2 linked regions of the Xenopus tropicalis genome follow. The protein of the gene in region 1 interacts with the protein of each later gene in a pairwise test. Links are inferred from orthologs where the notes say so. Each region holds a gene or a part of one and is shown on either strand. Other genes may lie near its edges. The genes, in order: brap and numa1.

What was found.
Region 2: the proteins of brap (region 1) and numa1 interact in a two-hybrid assay, tested with the Homo sapiens proteins (2 studies listed by BioGRID and IntAct). The link is inferred for Xenopus tropicalis from reciprocal best matches to the Homo sapiens genes BRAP and NUMA1.

Annotation. Positions count from the first base shown.
Region 1 is NC_030677.2:163,066,556-163,078,083, reverse strand, and holds the end of brap (BRCA1-associated protein), read right to left. Parts: intron 11,387-11,528; coding exon 11,277-11,386; intron 10,677-11,276; coding exon 10,587-10,676; intron 9,559-10,586; coding exon 9,455-9,558; intron 6,615-9,454; coding exon 6,266-6,614; 3' UTR 4,760-6,265; downstream 1-4,759. UniProt on the Homo sapiens protein: Negatively regulates MAP kinase activation by limiting the formation of Raf/MEK complexes probably by inactivation of the KSR1 scaffold protein.
Region 2 is NC_030678.2:178,861,630-178,873,157, forward strand, and holds part of numa1 (nuclear mitotic apparatus protein 1), read left to right. Parts: intron 1-310; coding exon 311-399; intron 400-1,246; coding exon 1,247-1,327; intron 1,328-1,473; coding exon 1,474-1,564; intron 1,565-1,746; coding exon 1,747-1,879; intron 1,880-3,523; coding exon 3,524-3,681; intron 3,682-3,918; coding exon 3,919-4,033; intron 4,034-4,393; coding exon 4,394-4,511; intron 4,512-4,599; coding exon 4,600-4,740; intron 4,741-6,358; coding exon 6,359-6,481; intron 6,482-6,565; coding exon 6,566-10,279; intron 10,280-11,193; coding exon 11,194-11,235; intron 11,236-11,528. UniProt on the Homo sapiens protein: Microtubule (MT)-binding protein that plays a role in the formation and maintenance of the spindle poles and the alignement and the segregation of chromosomes during mitotic cell division.

The sequences.
Region 1 (11,528 bases):
TCACACATAATTATACAATATGAGGAAAAAATGAAGTTGCTGCACTGTGCATGATACACCTTAGCACTAGCGCTTACAAGGAAGAACAGAAAATTAGCTATTCTGAAACAGGTAGTCAATTCTTTGGCCATTCCTTGGATACCTGCAGTCAAACTAATAAGCACAGAGAAGTGCTGTGGGCACATTTTACAATTTTGTTTTTCTCTTTTAAGCACCAAAAAATAGATTTGGCATATTCAATTAAAAGTAAAAGTATAATGTGTTTTTAATGTGATAAAGATCTTTTTACACAATTCAAATTCAATTAAATTTACCTTTTATAAGTTGATAATATTTAGTTTGTGGACAATTATTCCCAATTATAATATGTACCCATATAAGCAAAGGGAACAAAAAACATTGTTTAAATAATTGTACACCTGGTGGGAGATGTGAAATACTGCAAGTGGCATGGAAAGGTAGACACCTATACACCTATACGCTAGGATACGGTATTGCACAGTTCTGTTTGTATTATTTTCAAGGGAAAATATATCCCATTTTTTTGACATTCAGTCGGGCTTAAGGGAGGTGACAGATGGGGGGATTAGTTGCCCTGCGACAAATCTTCGTTGCCACAGGCCTTGGGAGGAAACTTCGGGCGACTTTCGGAAATCGCAGGGACGCGTATGCCATCCCACCAGCGACTTACATTCTTTCCGGTGGGATGGCATTGCGGGGAGACTAATCTCCCCTTCTGTCACCTCCCCAAAAGGTGCACAAACACTATCTGAACTTCTAGATATAAAAATAAAATAACTGCCAGACAACAGTCGTACTGAAGTTATGTTCTGGAAATACATTGTAGGTCACCCAAGGATAATGTCAGATACACAATACATGCACAGATATTATGATTATCTGACTGAAATGATCTGTCTGACTAAACCACCATTTGCCATGGTACAAAAATTATCGAGACAATAATTCTCAGCCCATACACGGTCTGAAAATTTGTTTCATATGAATGTTTATGGCCAGCTTTACTGTAATGCAACCCCACCCTTATCTTGTTGCTTTGTTAAAGGAACAGTAACACCAAAAAATTAAAGAGCTTTAAAGTAATAAAAATATAATGCACTGTTGCCCTGCACTGGTAAAACTGGTGTGTTTGTTACAGTAACACTACTGTAATTTATATAATAAGCTGCTGTGCAGCCATGGGGGCAGCCATTCAAGCTGGAAAAAAGGCACAGGTTACATAGCAGATAACAGACAAGTTCTGTAGAATACAATAGTGTTTTATCTGTTATCTGCTATGTGCCTGTGCCTTTTCTCCTTTGAATGGCTGCCTCCATGGCTACACAGCAGCTTATTTATATAAACTATAGTAGACTTTCTGAAGTAAACACACAACTTTTACCAGTGCAGGGCAGCAGCACATTATATTTTAGTTACTTTTATACACTTTCATTTTTTGGTGTTACTGTTCCTTTAAGTGATGGATTCTGGGAAGACCCTCTGCTTGGCAAAGAATCTATGAATTACTAACTATGAGAAGTAGAGATACTTCAAATCCTCAAACAAATTTGGGGAGGGGATGGGGATCTCTTAGCATAAGAGATCTTATTGGAGTTATTATGGTTTCTTTTAAGTTGTGGAATAAGGCATGTTTGTGTAAAACAGGGGTCCTCAAACTTTTTAAGCAGGGGGCCAGTTCATGGTCCCTCAGACTGTTGAGGGGCCAGACTAAAGTTCTCCCCCTGTGTCCTTATACTATGGCCACTCCCCACTGCTTCTTCCTGCTTCCTCCGTCTCCCCCCTGCATCCTCACGTCAGATCATAGTGGGGGCCAGGTAAATTACCTTGAGGGGCCGTATCCGGTCCGCGGGCGGTAGTTTGAGAATGCCTGGTGTAAAACATATTTCCATTTATTTCTGGAAGTCAAAAGATAGTGTTTACACACCTTTTCTGCATAAGACAAAACTGAATTTCAGGGCTCATGTCAAAAAGGGGGTATATTTTCTCTTTAATGATGGTAAAGAACGCTATACTTGCTGCTGGTTTTTCTATCATTGTTATATATACAGTGGAGGAAATAATTATTTGACCCCTCACTGATTTTGTAAGTTTGTCCAATGACAAAGAAATGAAAAGTCTCAGAACAGTATCATTTCAATGGTAGGTTTATTTTAACAGTGGCAGATAGCACATCAAAAGGAAAATCGAAAAAATAACTTTAAATAAAAACTCCTCCCGTGTAGTTCTAGGATGCTTTTTCACCTTTCTCAGAATCATTGACACCCCACGAGGTGAGATCTTGCGTGGAGACCCAGAGCGAGGTCGATTGATGGTCATTTTGTGCTCCTTCCATTTTCGAACAATCGCACCAACAGTTGTCACCTTCTCTCCCAACTTCTTGCTAATGGTTTTGTAGCCCATTCCAGCCTTGTGCAGGTCTACAATTTTGTCTCTGACATCCTTGGACAGCTCTTTGGTCTTTCCCATGTTGGAGAGTTTGGAGTCTGCTTGATTGATTGATTCTGTGGACAGGTGTCTTTTATACAGGTGACTAGTTAAGACAGGTGTCCTTAATGAGGTTGACTAATTGAGTAGAAGTGTCTAACCACTCTGTGGGAGCCAGAACTCTTAATGGTTGGTAGGGGTTCAAAAACTTATTTCACTCAATGAAATGCAAATCAGTTGCTATCTTTTATTTAAAGTTATTTTTTCGATTTTCCTTTTGATGTGCTATCTGCCACTGTTAAAATAAACCTACCATTGAAATGATACTTTTCATTTCTTTGTCATTGGACAAACTTACAAAATCAGTGAGGGGTCAAATAATTATTTCCTCCACTGTATACGGTTACATGGTTTTTGTCTGTAAAGTACCTTGCCTCACAGGCCTGGATTTCATACTGTTTATGCCGACCCACCAAAAATAAATGTTTTCAGATTATCTAAATTAAAGAACAGAAGGATCAGAAAATATTAAATAAATATATAAAATGTTTCTTGGTGATTAATCCTCGTTTACTCCAGGGTGGTTAAGTTGGCAGATTTCAAAGACAGCCTGGCCGCTATATTGCTGTTAAGTGGTTGATGGGAAATCTTAAGGTCTACAGCAAGTCATGCAACACTCAGAGGGCATATGAGGACAACAGTTCTCACTACTGCCAAAATTAAAAAAAAAAAAAAGAAGACAAGACAGATATGCATTGATGTTAAGGTTGCCTTTACTGTGGTTCTTTTCAAGAACAGTGAAGTGAACTGGGTATAAGAAAGATCTTAAGTTGTAATGCATGCTTTGTACATTAACTTACATAAAGAAATGTTTAGTGAAAACAGAGAAACATGTTTTCACACTCACATACTTTGTATACATTACATTACAATATCAGCGTTGTTTTTTATTTACCTAAAAGCAAACAGAGAATTTGCCAACTACAACTTGTACGGAAGTAAAATTGTGTATTTAGTGGTCTAGTTGGTAATGTGTGTGTCTGGAGTCAAACCAAACAAACAATACAAAAACAACCTCTTACCAACATGTGGCCCCAGCAGACCAGTTATGCCGTACATTTACTAACAAGTCAACAGAGCTAGGTAACAGAGAAAGGAACAACCTCCAAGCGTCTCCCACAATTCCCCAGTTCTTCCTAAATTCCAGCCTAGCTGCATTAGACACCCAGCCTTGATTCTTTCCAGCTAATTAGCCACCCAAATGCTGGATGATGGGCAAGTTGTTTAGTCTATAGTTAAAATGGAGAGATTATGACCATAAGGCCAAATAATCTCTTATCTGGGGATGTGTGAGGAAGTTATAGCTACTTTAGCCAGAGATCTCACATTGACTCAGAGCTGAAATGATTTGCTAAAAATGGTCTGCTGAGGGCCTATGATTGGAGTTAACTGTTCCAAGTGGGTTATAAACAAGATAATCAGCTGACCATCTCACTGTGCGTGCCCAGCTTTATAAATTGCACAATAGCTGCTTTGTATACTGTGCCAGAAAAGCTGCCAGCATAGAAACTTGCACAATTGAACACTGCTAGCTATTTGACTAACATAATATATTCATCATTTCAATACCCTTATAAGCCTGCCTACCATATCTTGGGCAACCAACAGTAAGAGATTCATGGAAAACATTAGACAGCAGTAACTAGTATGCTAGTCTCGAGAACAGAAACACTACACTGACACCATAGGAGCTTTGTAACACAATAATATTTGTGTAGAATACACCATTTAAGTTCAGTAAATGGAACCATATATAAATGTTGTTCTAATAATTTAAAGGGCCAGTAATATACAAACTGAAAGAGCTTCCAGCTGTTCCTTTAAAAGTAATGCACTTTTTTTCTACTTGTGGAAAAATTGTGGCAAATGACCTCTTAGGGCTCTGGCACACAGGGAGATTAGTCGCCCGCGAACAGGGAGATTTGTCGCGGGCGACTAATCTCCCTGTGTGCCAGAGCCCTAAGAGGTCATTTGCCACAATTTCCCCGAGTTGCCATCCCACCGGCTAAAATGTAAGTCGGCGGTGGGATAGCACACGCTGCGCAGGCGATTTCGGGAAATCGCCGAAAATGCCTCGCGAGGCAACTTACATTTTCGCCGGTGGGATGGCAATCCGGGGAGATTAGTCGCCCGCGAACAGGGAGTTTTATCTCCCCGTGTGCCAGAGCCCTTACAAATGTCAGACAGGTAACCAGCCATAAGAATTTTCAGTCATGAATGTCCAATGAGATCAGATGTCAACTGCTCAGAATGATTGTTTGATAGCAGATAGCACCATAAGTGGTAAGGTTTTTTATGGATAATGAAAAATTTTTTTAGAGATACATACAGTATCCTATAAGTTATTTTCTGATTACAGTGCAATAACTTTTAGTATTTAATTACAACTTAGGGTTTCGGCACTTGGTGTTTTGCTGCTCTTAAGCTCTCTAGTACACGATTGGCAAAATACTGTAAAATACCCTTTTTTCCAGCAGTTTGCCACCTGCAAGAGTGTCAAAATGTGTCATTACTCTAAAGGGAGAAAACATAACTACTAAAAGAGCAATGCAAAAAAATGATATTTGCAGGTAATAAATATGCAAAAGATAATACCTGAATTTATAGAAATCTTTTTAACTTTTTTGGTATTACTGGTCCTTTAATAGCTGAAGAAATGCCATACATTAAAAGGGTTTTATAACCCAACAAAACTTTTAAATCAAATAAATAAATAGGATAATGAAGCCATTATACATGGTACAGTCCCTTATTATAGCTGTATAAAACACCATAAGGATTAGCCAAGACATGTGATATAGCAAACAAGCAAGCATAGTAGCAAAGCTGAACAGGGATCAGTTGGAACAGACTTACCCCCTAATATAGTGTTACAGCAAACATAAATAATGGAGGACTCTATAACTACTTGTCACACTAACTTTCTGCTTGCATTTACTTATTGAAACTTTTTGGTATGCCATGTTGCAGTTGTGCTTGTTTGCTACACAGTGATAGCTGGTTCCAGTTTTGGAAAGAAGAAATAGGGACTGTGCAGGGTGGATTACTCCAGTAAAGGCAGCTGGGATGTCATGTGCATAGTGAATTTGTGTCTTTGACTAGACAATATAAATAGGCTTCAGTGATGCTTCAATGGCAGCTACAGTCCAGAAAGAAGTTGTTGCCATATTTATGTGTACAACTGATGTATACTTACATTCATACACCAGCACATACACAGCTCTATGCAGAAATGGCAATATATTTAGGAATCTGAACAACAATCCCAAAGGTACCTAAGCTCCAAACATATGGTAGGCTAATATGGTGCCAAAATCTCCCAGTGCTTTAGTTACTCTGTAGGTATATTATTCACCATAACAATAGCCACTAGTAAGTAAGCAATAAGCTAGTTTAGATCTTTCCACACAAATATTCATAAAACAGACCATATCTGGCTAAGCTCAACAGCAGAAAGTTATATATTTGGCCTCTTGCTTTTCAAGTCTTTTTGTACTGGTTTTACTGACAGTTGTACGGCTAAATTGTTTCTGAACAAGTTCACAAACAAATCATGGAAGAGGTCTGAAAATAAACCATATTGTACCTACTAGTGCTTGATAGCTGAAATAAATAATGCCAGAAGCTCTTAAATCTCCAGCAGAAAATGGAAGAATTCCTACCTGAACAGCCTAAATTCTGTCTCAGGAAAATATTTTAAAGTCAAAACTGTGACAGAAGAACCCTTAAGACGATACATAACAAAGGGATAAAAGACAACTTATTTGCCCCTTTTTCCACGCCCCTTCCGAGATGAGAGCTTTCCGGAAGCAGCAGGAGAACTGGGGGATGCTATGTTGATCTGGCCATCCTGTATCTCCTGTCGAGTGTCTGCAGGCATATGGTTTATTTTTTGCTGTGTTTCCAAGTAAAACATTACATCTCTCAGTTGCTCCTGCATTTCTAAGAGCTGCACGTCCTTCTGCTCGCAGGTTTCCTTGCGCATTATTTCCTCTTCTCGAAGCCTGGATTGCAGCATGGTTTGATTGGCCCTAAGGCACTTGTTCATTTCTTGCTCTTCTTTCAGCTCAGTGGAGAGCTTGGCCACTTTACTGTTCAACTGGGCACACCTTCCAATAAAATAGAAAAAACACCTGATTAGATTATTCCTTGACTTGCAGCAAACACTTAGGGGTATATTTATCCTGCTGTGTAAAAAGTGGAGTAAAGCATTAGGGCTCTGGCACACAGGGAGATTAGTCGCCCGCGACAAATCTCCCTTGTCACGGGCGACTAATCTCCCCAAACTACCATCCCACCGGCAAAAATGTAAGTCGCCGATGGGATGGCACATGCTGCGCAGGCTATTTTGGCAAATCGCCGAAAATGCCTCGCGAGGCAACTTCCGCGATTTGCCGAAATCACCTGCTCAGCGTGTGCCATCCCACCGGCGACTTACATTTTCGCCAGAGGGATGGTAGTTTGGGGAGATTAGTCGCCCGTGACAAGGGAGATTTGTCGCGGGCGACTAATCTCCCTGTGTGCCAGAGCCCTTACCGGTGATGTTGCTCATAGCAGCCAATCAGATGCTTTGCTTTGGCTTTCTAACTGTTAAAATCTAATTGCTGATTGGCTGCCCTGGGCAATATCACTGGTAATGCTTCACTCCACTATTTTTACACAATGATAAATATACCCCTTAGAATCATGTGATAAACACAGCTTGGTTTGTACTCCAGGAAATGGCATGCTCAACATATCTGGAGAGTCACTGTGCCCAAATTATACTTTCACCTTTGAGTTTATTTTTCCCTTGTCAAGCTCTTTGTTGGCTTCAAAAATAAGAAGAATCAGGCTCTCTTTGAAAGGAGATATATGCCTGCCTTCGAACAAACTACATAAATAGGCTGTTTTCCAAGGCTTAATATTCCACATTCGAAGTGCAAACCCCATCATTCTCCACAGAAGAAAAAGTACTGTAGATGGAGTAACCAAGCTTAAACTGCAACCTTCTCTACTGATGCGCCACAACACCTTTTAAAGGGGCCACGTCTGTCCATGAACAGCTAACATGACACTGAAAATGACACAGTTCTTTTCCCCTTTGCATTTGTCTAATGGAAACTTTAAGAAAAGAAGATACAATGATAACATTCTTGGAGGGTTTTTCCTACTTTCTATAAAGTGGCTGCTACTGACTTAACTATATCCTGTCTTGGCATTCATCTATGTCTACTTATCACAAAACGTACATTTCTTCTTTAAAAGCGTTTCTTGCCCAGGGGTGTATTACAGGGGCCACATGCACAATTTATTATTATTATTATTATTATTATTAAATGCTGCTAAAAAAATACTTTAACACTCAAACTCCTAGAAAGCCCATTTTCTTTTTTCATTTGAATTACCCTGATGCTGTTAACTCTTTACAACTCTGCAACTAGGTGATTAAAGCAGTTCACACATAATGGACAAGCCAGGAGGCTCTGTCATTAAGGGCTTTGGCACACGAGGAAATTTGTCGCCTGCGTTTTTTCCCCCAGGCGCTTTGGCGACAAGTCGCCACGACAATACACACGAAGAGATTTCATGCGAGTTGAGCTCCAGGCGATCTGCTACCCATGGTACCACTCAACAGTTAACCCCCCCATATGTTTACTCAAGTCACTCAGAAAAGGGTCTGTGTGTGATTTGAAACAGCAGGCGATTTGAAGTAGCCTCGTATGTTTTGACGCTGGCGATTTCCATTGGTTTAGCATTGGCATCTTGTCGCTCGTCTTGTCGCCAAATCGCTCTTTTAAAAATCGCCAGCGACAAATCTCCTCATGTACCAGAGCCCTAAAGGAACATTAAAGTAATTCCAATATAATGTACTGTTGCCCTGCACTGGTGCTGTTTAGCCAAGGGGGCAGCCATTCAAAGGAGAAAAGGCACAAGTTACTTAGCAGATAAAAGATAAAACACTATTGTATTCTACAGAGTTTATCTGTTACCTGCTATGTAACCTGTGTCTTTTCTCCTTTTTCCAGCTTAAATGGCTGCCCCTGTGGATACACAACAGCCTGGGGCATAGAGGTGGGGGGCAGGCCATATACGATTGACAGCTCAGATTTTTAATTACAATTACTTTATCTTTCCATTCGGAACTTCCTAGATATCACCTAGATGGCAAATGCATAAGATTTTGGGGTGATACAAAGCTTGTGTACACAAAATGGTGCCTGCCTGCTGACTGTGACTGAAAGTTCCAAGACTAAACAGAAAAAAACATTAAATTGTTTATATGGTGTAAGTGAAGTTTATTTTGCTCAACTAACATGATAGAAAAGAATTTGAAATTATTTTTTAGGGTGACAGGTCCTCTTTAACCCAATGTGGTGCTTTATGTCTCTGTGCATAATTTAGGCAAACAATATTTTGTTTTGGACACCAAAATAATTAACTAGAACCCTGCAGTATTTGTTTAAAAATATAAAAAAATTATTTTAAAAAAAATGGCCATACACAACACAATGTGTATAGTACCCCATTAATCAGATCAAGGGCCAAATGGATGGGTATCTTGCAAGAGGCGATCCATGTATATGGACCCTTTTTTATTGCTGTTGGTTTGGGCCTCTATACTTCCTTTTGGTGGTCTGATGAAAAGTTTAACTAAGAGGTTAGAGAAATGAAAGCAGGAAGTGCTCTGGCCATTATGTTATGTGACATCTGCTCATTCCAGCCTTTATAGATTCCATTTTTGCCTAAGCAACTATATTAGAAATATTTTTTATTTTGCGCAGTCTGTTTTGCCCAGTTTCATTTTTACACTGAACTGTTACTTTAAGGCTTGAATTCAGATACAGTCAAAAATTGGTCTGCAGCTGGGAACTGATCAGAAACAGCACTTTACACCATCAAGAGAAAAACAAAGGTGTAGACTGCTATAATAAAATTCAGTCAAATACTAACCACACTAAACCCTTACCTTCTTTCCACAGCTTGTTTCTCTTTGCTCAGGTCATTAAGTCTATGCTCCAGGCTGTCACACTTATCTATGGTCTCCTTAAACTTTGCCTTCATGTTATTAATCTATAATCAGAAACGAATGTTGGGTGAATTCATACAGGCCACTATGTTGTGTTTGACCTTATCATAATGGCAAGAATGGCACTTGTCTATAAAAGCAGCAGTAGGAAGCTTAAAATCCAATGTGTTGCAGCAGTGTGTCTCTTGAAAGTGGGTGTTAACTATACAATGATGCCAAATTTTATCCTGTGTTTAAAAAATCATCTTTGCTCTATAATAGCAATGTAGGAGGTCTCTTAAAAGGCAATTAAGCCCAAATTCATTGGAGAGTGCCTGGCATGTGTAACCCCCAGTGAATTCAGTTGGTAAGTTTTTTCCCTGGCCACTGCTGTTTTTGGAAAACATGCACCAACTCGGGGAACTATCAGCGCAGCAAACTTTCTTCACTTTCTCAGGTTCTTTGTGAAGACTTGCACCTGTAAAATGGAATCAGTCTCATTTAATGCACAGCCTAAAGGTGGCCATAGATGGGCCGATTCTAACTGCTGATATCGGTCCCTTAGACCGATTCGGCAGCTAATTGGCCCATGTAGGGGCACTAACGACGGGCCTGCCTGACTGATATCTGGCCTGAAATTCATTAAAAATTGTAGTTGGATCGGGGACAGCATCAATGAGCCGATGTGGTCCCCGATCAGACTAAATTTTTTATCCTGTCTGATCGAGGTCCGACTTCGCCTATACCCGTCATTCTAATTCGATCGCTTGGCCCCCGGACCAAACGACCAAATTAGCCTGGATTTGCCCAATATCACCCACCCGTAGGTGTATGGCCACCTTAAGTGTAAGTCTTTGGATGGATGCCTAAAAGAGAAAGAAGTGGTGCTATGCTGCTAAAGAAAGTACCCCAGGTTTGTTCATATTTTCCAAAAAAAAAAAAAAAAAGAGCACCAGATACTTAGGAACTGAATTTACTGGGGATGCCTTACTTTTTTCTTTTTTAACCTAATTTGCAAATTACCACAATTATTTTGGGTTTGGAAAGTCAACATGCACATACCACAAGGGACAAATTTAAGCATGTCTCTAACCTCTTCTGCTGTATCTTTTTCCAGGCGCACAATTTTGTTCTCCCAGTAAATACGTTGTGATTCCAGCTGACTGGTGAGAAGGTACGAGTACTAAAGCAATACAGAAACACAATATTGAATAAGACAGAGGGTTTTATGAATCTATTATCTTTTTAGTTATGCTAGAGGGCAATAATATATACACACTGAACAAGTGGAAGGGTGTCCAAACTTTTGCACTTACCACACTGTTTTCTTTGTTCCTGTGTTTTAAAGTTAGTAAAATAAAACATGACTGTTCAGTAACATTTGCAACCTACTGATTCCTATGGAGACCACTAGCAAGGGATTCAATAAAAGGGTTGGTTAGCAAAAAAAAAAAAAAAAATAATAATATTGGCTTTATTATCTGGAATGCTCAGGGCTGGATTCCTCCCAAGGGCACCTACAGGCCAGAATCCTACATTGTCCCCACCCAACCCCCCCCCCCCACAGCATCCCACGAATATGCATCTTATGTCCCTGTGTATGGAGATCCAAATTATGGACAGATGGAGAGATTAGTCGCTGCGATTTTTAAAAAGCGAGTGGTTATAGCACTTTGACTTATCTTGATAAAAGTCTATTAACCAAAATGTCAACAATGTACTTAATTAGCGATAAGGCCAAAAAACAAAAGAAAACTATTCTGAGTTAGTTCAAGTTTCTTACTTCTAGCTGTAGAGAATCAATCTTTTCATCCTGGCAGGTGTCTCCTTCACATTCATACTGAACAATTTTGCCATCTGTTTTGCTTGCAACCAATCGATGGACATAATTATCTGGAGTTAAAAGCATATAATTTTTTTTTGCAACTAGAACCATACATAGGTTGAAGACAGATAAAATAACATAATAGCAAAATTCCATGTAGTGCTGCCTTTTCCAGCCCTAAGAGAGCCCAAGGGGTATTGTCTCCAGCAG
Region 2 (11,528 bases), on another chromosome or scaffold:
CCCCCCCAGTACTGATATTAGTAGTTCTGTTCCTGATACTCACTGCTGCACTGATAGTGTGTAATGTACAATCACTTGCCCCTTCCCTTAGCCAATCAGAATGTTTGTGCATAATGTGCCCTTCAGCCTTACTGTCCCTTTAGGGCCCTGGCATTTGCGGCCATTCTGAGGGGTTTTATTCTCTGTGTTTAATAGCTTCCTGCTTCCCCCCCCCCCATGGAGCTGCTACTCAACAAGCATTGTGGGGCTTCTGCGCTTCTCTGGCCTGTGTGTGTCCTGAGTAAATCTCACTCATTCTCTCTTTCTGTAGGGTATTGCCGGCCGGGCTCCTCAGCTGAAAACTTGGTGCAATGGCAGAAGATTCTGCAGGGGGAGAACCTGGAAGTGGAACTTTCCAAGGTACTTTCCGGCTGCACAATTGCCCTCTCTCTCACATGCCCATTCTCCCTGCCATCCATCCCACTCCGACTCTTCTGCTGATTTATAGCTCTGTCCCCTTTCCCACTGGGAGCATAGGCAACCTTAGGCCTTATGGTGCCCATACACGTGAAGAGGTCGCCAAGCGAGTGAATCTTCACCTGATATCCCCACTTACGGGTGGGCGATATTGGGGAACATGTAGGCTAATTCGATCGAATTATAATGGCGGCAATGGGGCAGTCGCTTCGGGGACCGCATCAACGAGCCGACGCGGTCCCCGATCCGACTAAATCTTTTAACCTGCCCGATCAATATCTGCCCAATTTCAGGCCAGATATCGGTCGTGCATGTCCCTCGCTTCTGCCCCTACACGGGCCTATAAGCTGCCGAATCGGTCTAAGGGACCCATATCGGCAGCTACAATTGGCCCGTGTATGGCCACCTTTAGCAGCTGCCAGTGGGTGCTGCCTTTCTCTGCCCATAAGATTTGCACTTACACGAAAGGCCTGTGAGTGGCTTATATTTGTACTCCCTGCACAGCAGCATTGGCTCCCCTACCATTTTTCCCAACATGCCACTTTCTTTATGAGATGGCTGGAATCTCTTATTGGGTAAAAGGGATCTGCAGCTGATACAGAAAAGTATCTGTAGAATTGTCTCTCTGCAGCAGAGAGAATGAAATACCACAGTAAAGCAATAGGCAAGTATGGGTGAAACACATGGCGCTACTAGTAGCAGCTACTAAGTATCTCTGTGTCTTCACCCTAATGGACTCACTACTAGAAGTTAAACTGTTCTAACTGCACCCCTTCGTTATATCTCACAGGCAATCGTCCTTCTCTTCTATTACTCAACTATGAGCTCCAAAAACCCGAAGAAATCTGAGGATTTTGATCATAAAACTCAGGTGAGGAAGCCTCCTGCTGCTATGTTGGTTCATAGTAATTGGACCAGTAACTTTGATTGGCTGAGCGCTTTCCTGCCATTTTGTGACCCAATGAAGGTGCATTATCTAAGATTTCACTCTCTCATTATGAATTTCTGCACTTGCAGACAGAGCTGGCCTCCATCTTGCGCTTTGTACTGGATAATGAAGATGCTCTCTGTCTGGACGACAAACTTATCAACTTCCTGCAGCGGAAAGGTGAGGCAGAATTGTGTGCTGGGCGCGTGTTTTAGGGACATTTTTGCTTTGCTAAATGTAAATAATTATGTGGTGTGCGAGCAGGCTGCATGTTTGTGCCCTTGGCATATATTGGTGTATATTCAGTAACACCTCCCCTGCATTGTGCCTCACTCTTGCTTATGAGACCTCTTCTCTTCCAGCGCGTTTTCCCTCCTTGGGAGATGATACGTCCAGTTGCTCCGACGCCGCGTCTCCTAATGTGTCCCACAGGCGGAAGAGCGAAGTGCGCTTTCTGGAGCTGCATCGTGTTGCTTCCTCATCTACTATGAAAAGGTAAATATCCTGCTGCTTTATAGCAAACTCTTGGGCAGACTGGTATTTTGCTTAGGTGCAGGAGAAACAAAAAAGCGGATCCTACATGAACTTTCCAGAAGGTGTTACTCTATAATAACCGGTCATTCCCCTGCTGGAAAGTTCATGTAGGAGCCGCTGATATCAGTCAGTAAATAGATCCCAATACAAACAGCTGATGTGACTCTATAATAACCAGTCATTCCCCTGCTGGAAAGTTCATGTAGGAGCCGCTCATATCAGTCAGTAAATAGATCCCCATACAAACAGCTGATGTGACTCTATAATAACCAGTCATTCCCCTGCTGGAAAGTTCATGTAGGAGCCGCTGATATCATTCAGTAAATAGATCCCCATACAAACAGCTGATGTGACTCTATAATAACCAGTCATTCCCCTGCTGGAAAGTTCATGTAGGAGCCGCTCATATCAGTCAGTAAATAGATCCCAATACAAACAGCCGATGTGACTCTATAATAACCAGTCATTCCCCTGCTGGAAAGTTCATGTAGGAGCCGCTCATATCATTCAGTAAATAGATCCCAATACAAACAGCTGATGTGACTCTATAATAACCAGTCATTCCCCTGCTGGAAAGTTCATGTAGGAGCCGCTCATATCAGTCAGTAAATAGATCCCAATACAAACAGCTGATGTGACTCTATAATAACCAGTCATTCCCCTGCTGGAAAGTTCATGTATAATAAGCAGCTTATATAAATAGTTCCATTAATTTTTGTTAATGAGTCAGTTAATTGTTACATAAATGGTGTAAGTAAATTTTAACCCCAGTTACACAATGTGCATGGCTTTTTATATCCACCGGCCCCTTTCAGGCCAAAATCCGAGGACAACAGCCCCTCCCCTTTCTGCTGATTGTTGCCCTGCGCTTGAACTTGCAAGCCCATTATTCCTGTACCTTTGGGCTGTGCTCAGCTCTGACAGACAGGGGGAACTGCTTTCCCAGCACAACACTGCCCCCTGTGTGTCAGATCTTGGCACAGCCTATGTGTGAGGGCTTTGCAAAAAAAAAAGCATTTTCGTTTTTTTTTTTTTTTTTTGCAAAGGGTTTGTTCACCTCTAAACTAACTTAGTATGATGTAGACATTGATATTCTGAGAAAATTTGCAATTTGTTTTCATTACTTATTTTCTGTGGTTTCAAAGTTATTCGGCTTTTTCTTCAGCTCTCCAGTTTGGAATTTCTGGTTGCTAGGGTCTTGTTTACTTTAGCAACCAGGAAGTGTTTTGAATGAGAGACTGGAATATGATTAGGAGAGGACCCGAATGGGAAGATAAGAAATAAAAAGAAGTTAATAATATTCATTTTCTTGCTGCCTGGGTCAGTGACCCCCCTCCGTTTAAAAGCTGGAAAGATGTACAAGAGGGAGGCAAATAATTCACAAAACAATAAATAATAAAGACCAATTTCAATGTTGCTAGGGAATAGGACGTTCAATAACATAAAGTTAACTCAAGGGTCTTTAATTTGGAGTTGGTTTTACATGAGGAATCCAATTCTGCCGTCAGTTTAGATTTGATATTGTTTGATTGTGCCATGGTTCCTTCCTTACATCCCAGCTCTGACCTGAGGCCGTGTCTTGACTCTGTTTCTGGTGTTTCACAGTTTGTCAGCGGACCCCCCATCTTCCCCAATGATCGAGGTGCTGCACACCCCTCAGTTCCAGATGAGGCGCCTGAAGAAGCAACTGAGTGAAGTGCGGGACTGTAGAGATGAACTGGAGGTGGAACTGGCAGAGAACCGCAAACACCTGGCAGAGAAAGGTCAGTGCCTTTACCCAAACTCTCTGTATAAATAAGCTCCTTATCTGTAAGCCCGAGACACAGGCGCCAATCATGTATTTTGTATTTATACATTTGAAGTTGCTATGTTTTTTCCTTTAGTTACCACAGAGCTTGCAAAGCCCTTTAAGGAAACCAAATAGAACAGGATCCCTTTACAACTTCTCAGTAGAATCAATGACACAAAGTCACCCCCCTCTCTCATTCATTTCCTTACAGAGGCTCAGATCTCCCTCCTGCAGCAGCAGATTGAACACCTTCGGATCTTAAGGGAGAACCAGGCTGAGCTACAGGAACCCAAAGAGCTGGAGGAACTTCGGGAGAAGAATGAGAGGTGAGTAACCTACTGAGTGGCACCTCTACACCTCCCTGTGCCCCTTTATGTTCAGTATGTGTTTGTATGCACCTTCTCCCCTTTTCCAGACACACCCTGGGAGGTTAGTTAGCCCCCCAAAATGACACGTGTAAATATGACGGACCTTCGATTGTAAGCTCCACAGGGTAGGAATTAGTGTGAATATGAAACAGTCTGTTAAGTGCAGAACTATATAAATGAAGCCTTATAACAGAAATAACTCTCCCAACTCCATATATTTCCCAGTTGTCCCAGTGCAATCTTCCTTTATTTGAATCCCACTATGTGCAAACCACACACACACACACAAAGGCTGACCTGTGCACTTTTTCCCCGTAGCCTGATGATCAGACTTCGGGACACCCTCAAGCAGTGTCAGGATATGAAGACTGACAAGAAACAACTGGAACGCAAGAACGATCAATTGGCCGAGGAGAATGGCGAGCTCTCTTACAAGGTCTTGTAATCCTCCATGTCACATGACAAGTTTCACTTCCCCACATACATATACATATATATATCATCCCATATGTGTCTTTGTGCAGGTGCGAGACTTATCCAACCGCTTGGCACAACTGCAGGAGGCTCTCTATGAAACCACAGAGGAACACGAGCTTTCTCTGAGCAACTGGGAGCAGAAACAGAGCCAGTTAGAGAGTGAGCTGAGTGGTGCAGTCGGTGAAAAGGTAATGAATTAATGGCTTAATCAGATGTGTTGGGCTGCTTGGTTTAGCTTGACCTTCGGGGATGCTAACAAACGATCATAACACGTTGTTCATGTTCTGTGTGATGTGCTCCATTGGCCAGATAATGGACATGGCAGAAGGTTGCTGTGATAGGCAGCATGGTAGCCTTTGATAATTCATAATATGCCTTTTAAGGTGTAGCATTTATGAACCAATATTTATTGTGAGCTTAGTGTCCCTTTCAAAGTATTTCGGAAGGGTATTTTCTCCTTTATCGAGGTGATATAGGAACTGTAGGAATATAGCGTCCACCATCAGGATGCAGAAGACTAAAAATAACTGACTTCAACTTGTACTTGACCCCTCCCACAGGGGCTGTAACTCTGCCCCTTCTTGTGCTGTCCTCCGTGGGGCTGGGGAACACACAGGCTGCCTGTTTGACCAGTGGCTAAAAGTGGCAGCCAGGGGACTTATGGGTCCTTGTTGGTTAGACAGGACATCCATGTGGTGTGGATTCTTGGGGTTGTTCTCCTACTGGAAGGTCTACTGCAGTGATCCCCAACCAGTGTCTCGTGAGCAACATGTTGCTCACCAACCCCTTGGCTGTTGCTCTCAGTGCCCCCAGTTATTGTTGAATTCCTGACTTGGGGACAAGTTTTGGTTGAATAAAAACAAGATTTCCTACCAAATAAAGCCCCTGTAAGCTGATAGGGTGCATAGAGGCTGCCTAATAGCCAATCACAGCCCTTATTTGGCTCCTCCATGTACTTTTATGGTGCTTGTGTTGCTCTCCAAGTCTTTTTACATTTGACTGTGACTCACAAATAAGAAAGGTTGGGGATCCCTGGTCTACTGGGTCTCTGTGCTCCATCCCTCACTTGAAGCCGCCCTACTTGCCTCTACCTGTCCTCCTTCACTTTGGTAGACGGTTGACTAGTGCTGAGAGGGGCCCCAAGTTGGACAGCAGGCATACTATGCGACTCCCGCTGGCTCTGCCAATCTTTCCCTGCACACATGTCCCTGGGGTGGCTCAGCCCTTTTGAAAGATGGCACAGGCCAAATCCCATGCCCTTCCCAGATATGTCTCCCTTGGACCCTTCACTACTACCCTTTATTGTCATTACATGCTGCCTTCCCAAGCTTTCACCGTACACATTCCCGGGCTCTTGGTGCACTCCTACCTCCCTTTTGAGAACGCCCTCCTTTTTCCTTCTAATTCACCTAGATAAAATATGTTCTGTGAGGATCACAATAAAATAGTGAGTGAAGTTTACCACGTTATTTTCTGTACATAGGTTTTTCTTACAGAGTAGAGGCACCGTCACGCCATCCAGACTTTACAAATCAGAAAGAAAATATCACTCCGGAGAACTATGTCAATCAACCAGTTGTAGTTTTATTATATACACAACATGCTTCAGATCCTGATGAAGGATCACTGGTTCTGAAACACGATGTGCAGTATAAAATAAAACTGCGACTGGTTGGTTGACACGTTTCTCCGGAGTGATATTTTGTTTCTGATTTGTATGTTCTGCAAGGTCCTTTCCTCCGTTATATAAAAGTATACAAAGATTGTTCTGTGGATTTGGCGTTAATATCTGTTTTGTTATTGCAGAAGTATCTGGAAGAGCATCACTTAATACTGCAGGGAAAAATATCAATGCTTGAGGATCAGCTAAAGAAGATGGGGGAGAGAGAGGTGGAAGAAAAAGGAGATTGTATGGGTGACATCCTCAAGGTATGGATGGATGCATGGAGACTGTAAAGACTGTTAGTACCATACGTTTTTTACTGAGGTTTGTTTTTTTTTTTTCTCCTTTAGCTGGAAGACTTGAAGCAAGAGGTAACTGCGCTCAGCACCCAGTGCCTCAGTCTAACAGAACAGATCCATCAGTTGGAAGAGGAAAAGAGCACTACAGAAATTGACATGGAGGCACAGAGGTCCAGATTTGAATCTGAGAAAAGTCAGCTGCAGGAGATAGTCACTAACCTGCAGACTTCATTGTCAGAAATAACATTTCAGAAGGAGAGGCAAGATAACGAGGCCAGGGCACAACAGGAACATCTGACATGCCAGATTACAACATTAAAACTGGAGATCTCCAAGCTGAAGTCTTCCCTGGTGCATAAGGAGGAAGAGCTGAAGGGCATTCACCATCAAGTGGAAGAAGAGAAGAGAGAAAAAAATCAGCTCTTGGAAAACTTCAAAATACTGGAAGAATCCTCAAAGCAGAACATTCAGGAGCTTGTAAACCAAGTGGAGCAAATTAGTAGCTCTTTGAAGGTTTCCGAGGGCAATCTGGTTGGACTTACACAACAGCTAGAGAGCAAGGCGAAAGAAGTTGACTATTTAAGAGAAGAACAGCAGAAAGTTGCCTGTGAGAGAGATTCCACTCTTTCCACATTCAATGAGTACAAGTGCAAAAAGGATGAAGAGTTCAGTGTCTTAAACATGACCATGAAAACACTGGAACAAGATCATCAAGCTAGTCTTTCTGTTATAGAGGAGCTGAAAAGGGAAAAGGCAGAGCTGGCATCCAAGCTACAGGAACTGGATGCCACCATTCTAGATCTGCTTGCTAAATGCCAGAACTTGGATAGTGAAAATGCTTCACAGAGCAAATCTCATGCAGCCGCTGTGGAGTCTCTAAAGGCACAGCTTTCAGAGCAGGAGAGTCAACTGAAAATATATCAGAAGAAGGTGTCCTCCTGTGAATTGGTGTCCGAAGAAAACTCGCAACTTAAAGAACAGCTCCTGTCTATGGACGAAAGTCTGAGACATCTTAGGGAACATCTAGAGAAAGAGAAAATGAAATTTGCTGCTTCTCTTGATAGCGACGGTAAAAGAATTTCCCACCTTGAAGAGGAGATGAAGAAGTTGAGTGAAAGCAGAGATGCAGCACTGAGTAACCTTGCTGAAGAAAGGGCCGCTGGACAGAAGATTGAATCTCAGCTGAAGCACTTACAGGAGGAGTACCATACAGCAAATGAAACCCTGCAGGCAAAAATGGCAGAATCCAGCGCTGCTATCAAACAGCGTGAAGCAGAAAGGGACGAGTTGTCTAAGGTGGTTGACATCTGGAAGGCCAAATATGAAGAGTCTCAGCAGAAGATAGTGCAGAACTCCTGCCAGATGGAGGAACAAATTCAACATCTGAAGAAGGCTCATACTGATGTTTGCCAGCAACTGGAGGGAGAGAAGAGTAAAGTTTTGATGTTGGAAGCCAAGATAAAGGAAACAAACTCTTCTCAACTGGAGCAGATAAATCGGTTGGAGTGTGAACTGTCTGAAGCCTACTCTCGTATCAAAGAGAGAGAAGCTGAGGAAAAGAAGCTACTCTCTGCTCTCCACTCTTCAGAGGAGAAATTTCAGATTGCTCATCAAGGGGAAAGTGAGCGTCTTTCCCATCTGGAAACAGCCTTAAGCAATGCAAAGTCAGAACTGGATTGTCTAGTCAGAGAGGTGTCTGATGAGAAGCATAAGAAAGAAGAACTTGAAGCCTTGGTGAAAGAGTTAAAAGAGCAAAAATCTGAAAGAATTCAGTCCCTGGAATCTGAGGTGAAAACCAGTTTAGCTGCTGTTAAAGAGCGAGAAAGTGAAACTGCAAAGCTTTCTGAAGAGGTGAAGGATCTGAACAGGCAGCTAGAGGAGATCGGTCAGAAGCATAAGGAAGAGCTGGCTCAGAAAAATACTGAAATTGAGCAGTTGATTGAGGCCAAAGAAAAAGCTGCGTTGGACTTGGCTAGTAAAACAGAGATGGGGGCTCAGCTGCAGAAATTGTTGGATACGCACAAAGGTGAGCTCAGTGCCTTGCAGAATGAGCTTTCCCGTTCCCTTGATCTCATCTCTCAGAAGGAAAGTGAAGTAGAAAGACTTCATAAAGAGGCTGCCGTAACACAAGAGGAGATACGGAAGCAGCAACAGACTATGGGAAAGCTCACAGAAGAGCTAACTGCTTTGGTTGCACTTAAAGAACAGGCGGCCCTGCAGGAAAAAGAGATTGCACAGCATGTCCGGGCCACTAAGGGTGCTGAAGCAGAGATGGCTAACCTAAAAGCTATCATTTCTGAAAAAACTAAAAATATTGAATCCTTGGAACACGACATCAAGAACCAGAAGGGAGACCTTGCTTGCATTCAAGAGCAGTATCGGAGCAAGCAGGAGGAGGCCCGAGGTCTTCAGGGCCAAATAGTAGATCTGGAAAGAGAGTGCAAAGAGCAGAAGGAACTGATTTGTCAGGCCCAGAAACAGGCTGCTGAGGCAGAAACACTGGCCTCCGAAAAGGTTTCAACGTCGGAGAGACAGCTAGAAGGAATCCAAGCGCTCGAAGGTGAAATCCATAAAGAGAGGCAAAAGACGTGTGACCTGCTGAAGCAGCTGGAGGCTTCTCAGGCCGCGCAGGCAGATAAGGAAACTGAGCTACAAGCACTGAAGAAAGAGTTGTTTCATAAGGTTCAAGAACTGGAGCAAAGTCAGAAATCTTCTACTGAGTCAAGTCGAGAGCTCTCCTCTATGCTTTCTGCGGCTCAGGAGAGGCAGCGAGCCTTAACAGAGGCCAAACAACAAGCAGAACAGTACCAGAAGGAAATTGAAATGAAGAGTAAAGAGGTGGGCAGCCTGCATGCAGAAGTGAAGAGCTTGAGTTCTAAGGTGGAGGTGTCTGCGGAGTTTGAACAGCGGCTATTGAAGGAAACTAATAGAAGCACAAAGCTAGAAGAGAAGCTGAAAAAGCTCCATGGTGATGTAGAGGCCTCCTCTAAGGAGCTACTTGAAAAGAATCGCGCTATGGATAGTTTAAAGACGGAAGCCCAAACCTGCAGACAAGAAGCAGACAAGCAAAGAATGGCAGTTGAGGGCCTCCAGCAGTCGCTCTCCTCCCAGGCAGAAACAAACGATCGCTTGCAGCAGGAAATTCGCTCCTGGCAGGGAAACTGTGCTGAGAAGGAACAGCAAATCTCTTCTCTCCAACAGAATCTCAGCAGCAACCAAAGCCTCCTGGAGGAATTTGCATCCCTAAAACGCAGTTACCAGGAAATCATTGCAGAACGGGAAGTGATGCAAGAGAAGCACCAGGAGGAACTTCTGGGCCAGAAAAAGCTAACTGAGCGTTTCCAGGCAGAACTGCAAAAGACTAAGGAGGACATGGCCGAAATGGTTCTACTCAAGGAGAAAGTTCACAACCAAGAGCTTCGGTTACAGAAACTGCACTCCGAGAACGACGATCACTTGTCCCAAATAGCCCATCTTCAGCAGCTCAACAGCCGGCTCGTTGGGGAGAACCAAAGCTTGTCTCAAGCTTCTGACCAGGGTGCCAAGAAACTGGAGAGCGAGGTGTCCAACCTCAAGGAGCAGCACGAGGAACAGCTGAAGTCTCTCCGCCTGCAGCACGAGAAGACTCTGAGAGAAGGCAACGAGCGAGTACAAGATCTCAGCCAGAAACTGGAAACTGCAACCGGCAAATACGAGCACGTGAAAACGAGGGTTGTGGATGATTGGAAAGCGTTCCAGGAGGAAAAGCAGAGGCTCCTTCTTCAGGTACTGAGCATTAAGTACAGAAATAATAAGTCTTACCCACATATGTAATTACAGGCCTGCCTAAGTGCAGTAACCTATAGCAACCAATAAGATGCTTCCTTGTAAACAGGTGACCAGAACATGCTACCTGTTAATTGGGTGCTATGGGTTACTGCACATTAGCAAGCTTACCCACATATGTAATAACAGGCCTGCCTAAGTGCAGTAACCCATAGCAACCAATAAACAGGTGTCCAGAGCATGCTACCTGTTAATTGGGTGCTATGGGTTACTGCACATTAGCAAGCTTACCCCTATATGTAATAACAGGCCTGCCTAAGTGCAGTAACCCATAGCAACCAATAAACAGGTGTCCAGAGCATGCTACCTGTTAATTGGGTGCTATGGGTTACTGCACATTAGCAAGCTTACCCCTATATGTAATAACAGGCCTGCCTAAGTGCAGTAACCCATAGCAACCAATAAACAGGTGACTAGAACATGCTACCTGTTAATTGGGTGCTATGGGTTACTGCACATTAGCAAGCTTACCCCTATATGTAATAACAGGCCTGCCTAAGTGCAGTAACCCATAGCAACCAATAAACAGGTGACTAGAACATGCTACCTGTTAATTGGGTGCTATGAGTTACTGCACATTAGCAAGCTTACCCACATATGTAATAACAGGCACTAAGTTTGCCCAGGAGCAGTAACCCATAGCAACCCATAAAATGTTTGCTTTTAAACAGGAGACCAGTAAATTCACCCCGCTGATTGGTTGCTATGGGTTACTGCTCCTGTGCCTTTTCTTACATTACCCCAGTAGATGCTTACCCTAGCCAGTAGCCCCCCTAGCCGTACTTACTGTGCTGCTCTGTAAGGGCAAAGCCATAGCCACGTAGAGTAAATGTCTCTGGTTAATACCATCGCAGGTGCAAGAGCTGGAGGCGGCAAAGAAAGAGCAAAGTGAGCAGGTAATGCCCATAAGCAACTCTCGTCTCCAGCTACTCAAACGGTGACGGTGCATGCCGCTTACTCACCCCCCTTATACACCACCAACTGTGGCCTCTCTGTTTTCCTTGTGAACTGTTTGCCCAAGGGATGCGGCAGCACGCAGGATCTGGTACAAGCACGGAACGGAGGCGCCATTCCCCTAATGCTTGTGCTGTCGGAGAGTCTTCGCTCACTCTCAGGGTAATGGATTTTGCTGGGAAGCGAGTTCCCCTGTGTAGATTTCTCTGTTCTGCCGTGCAGGTTAACCCTTCCC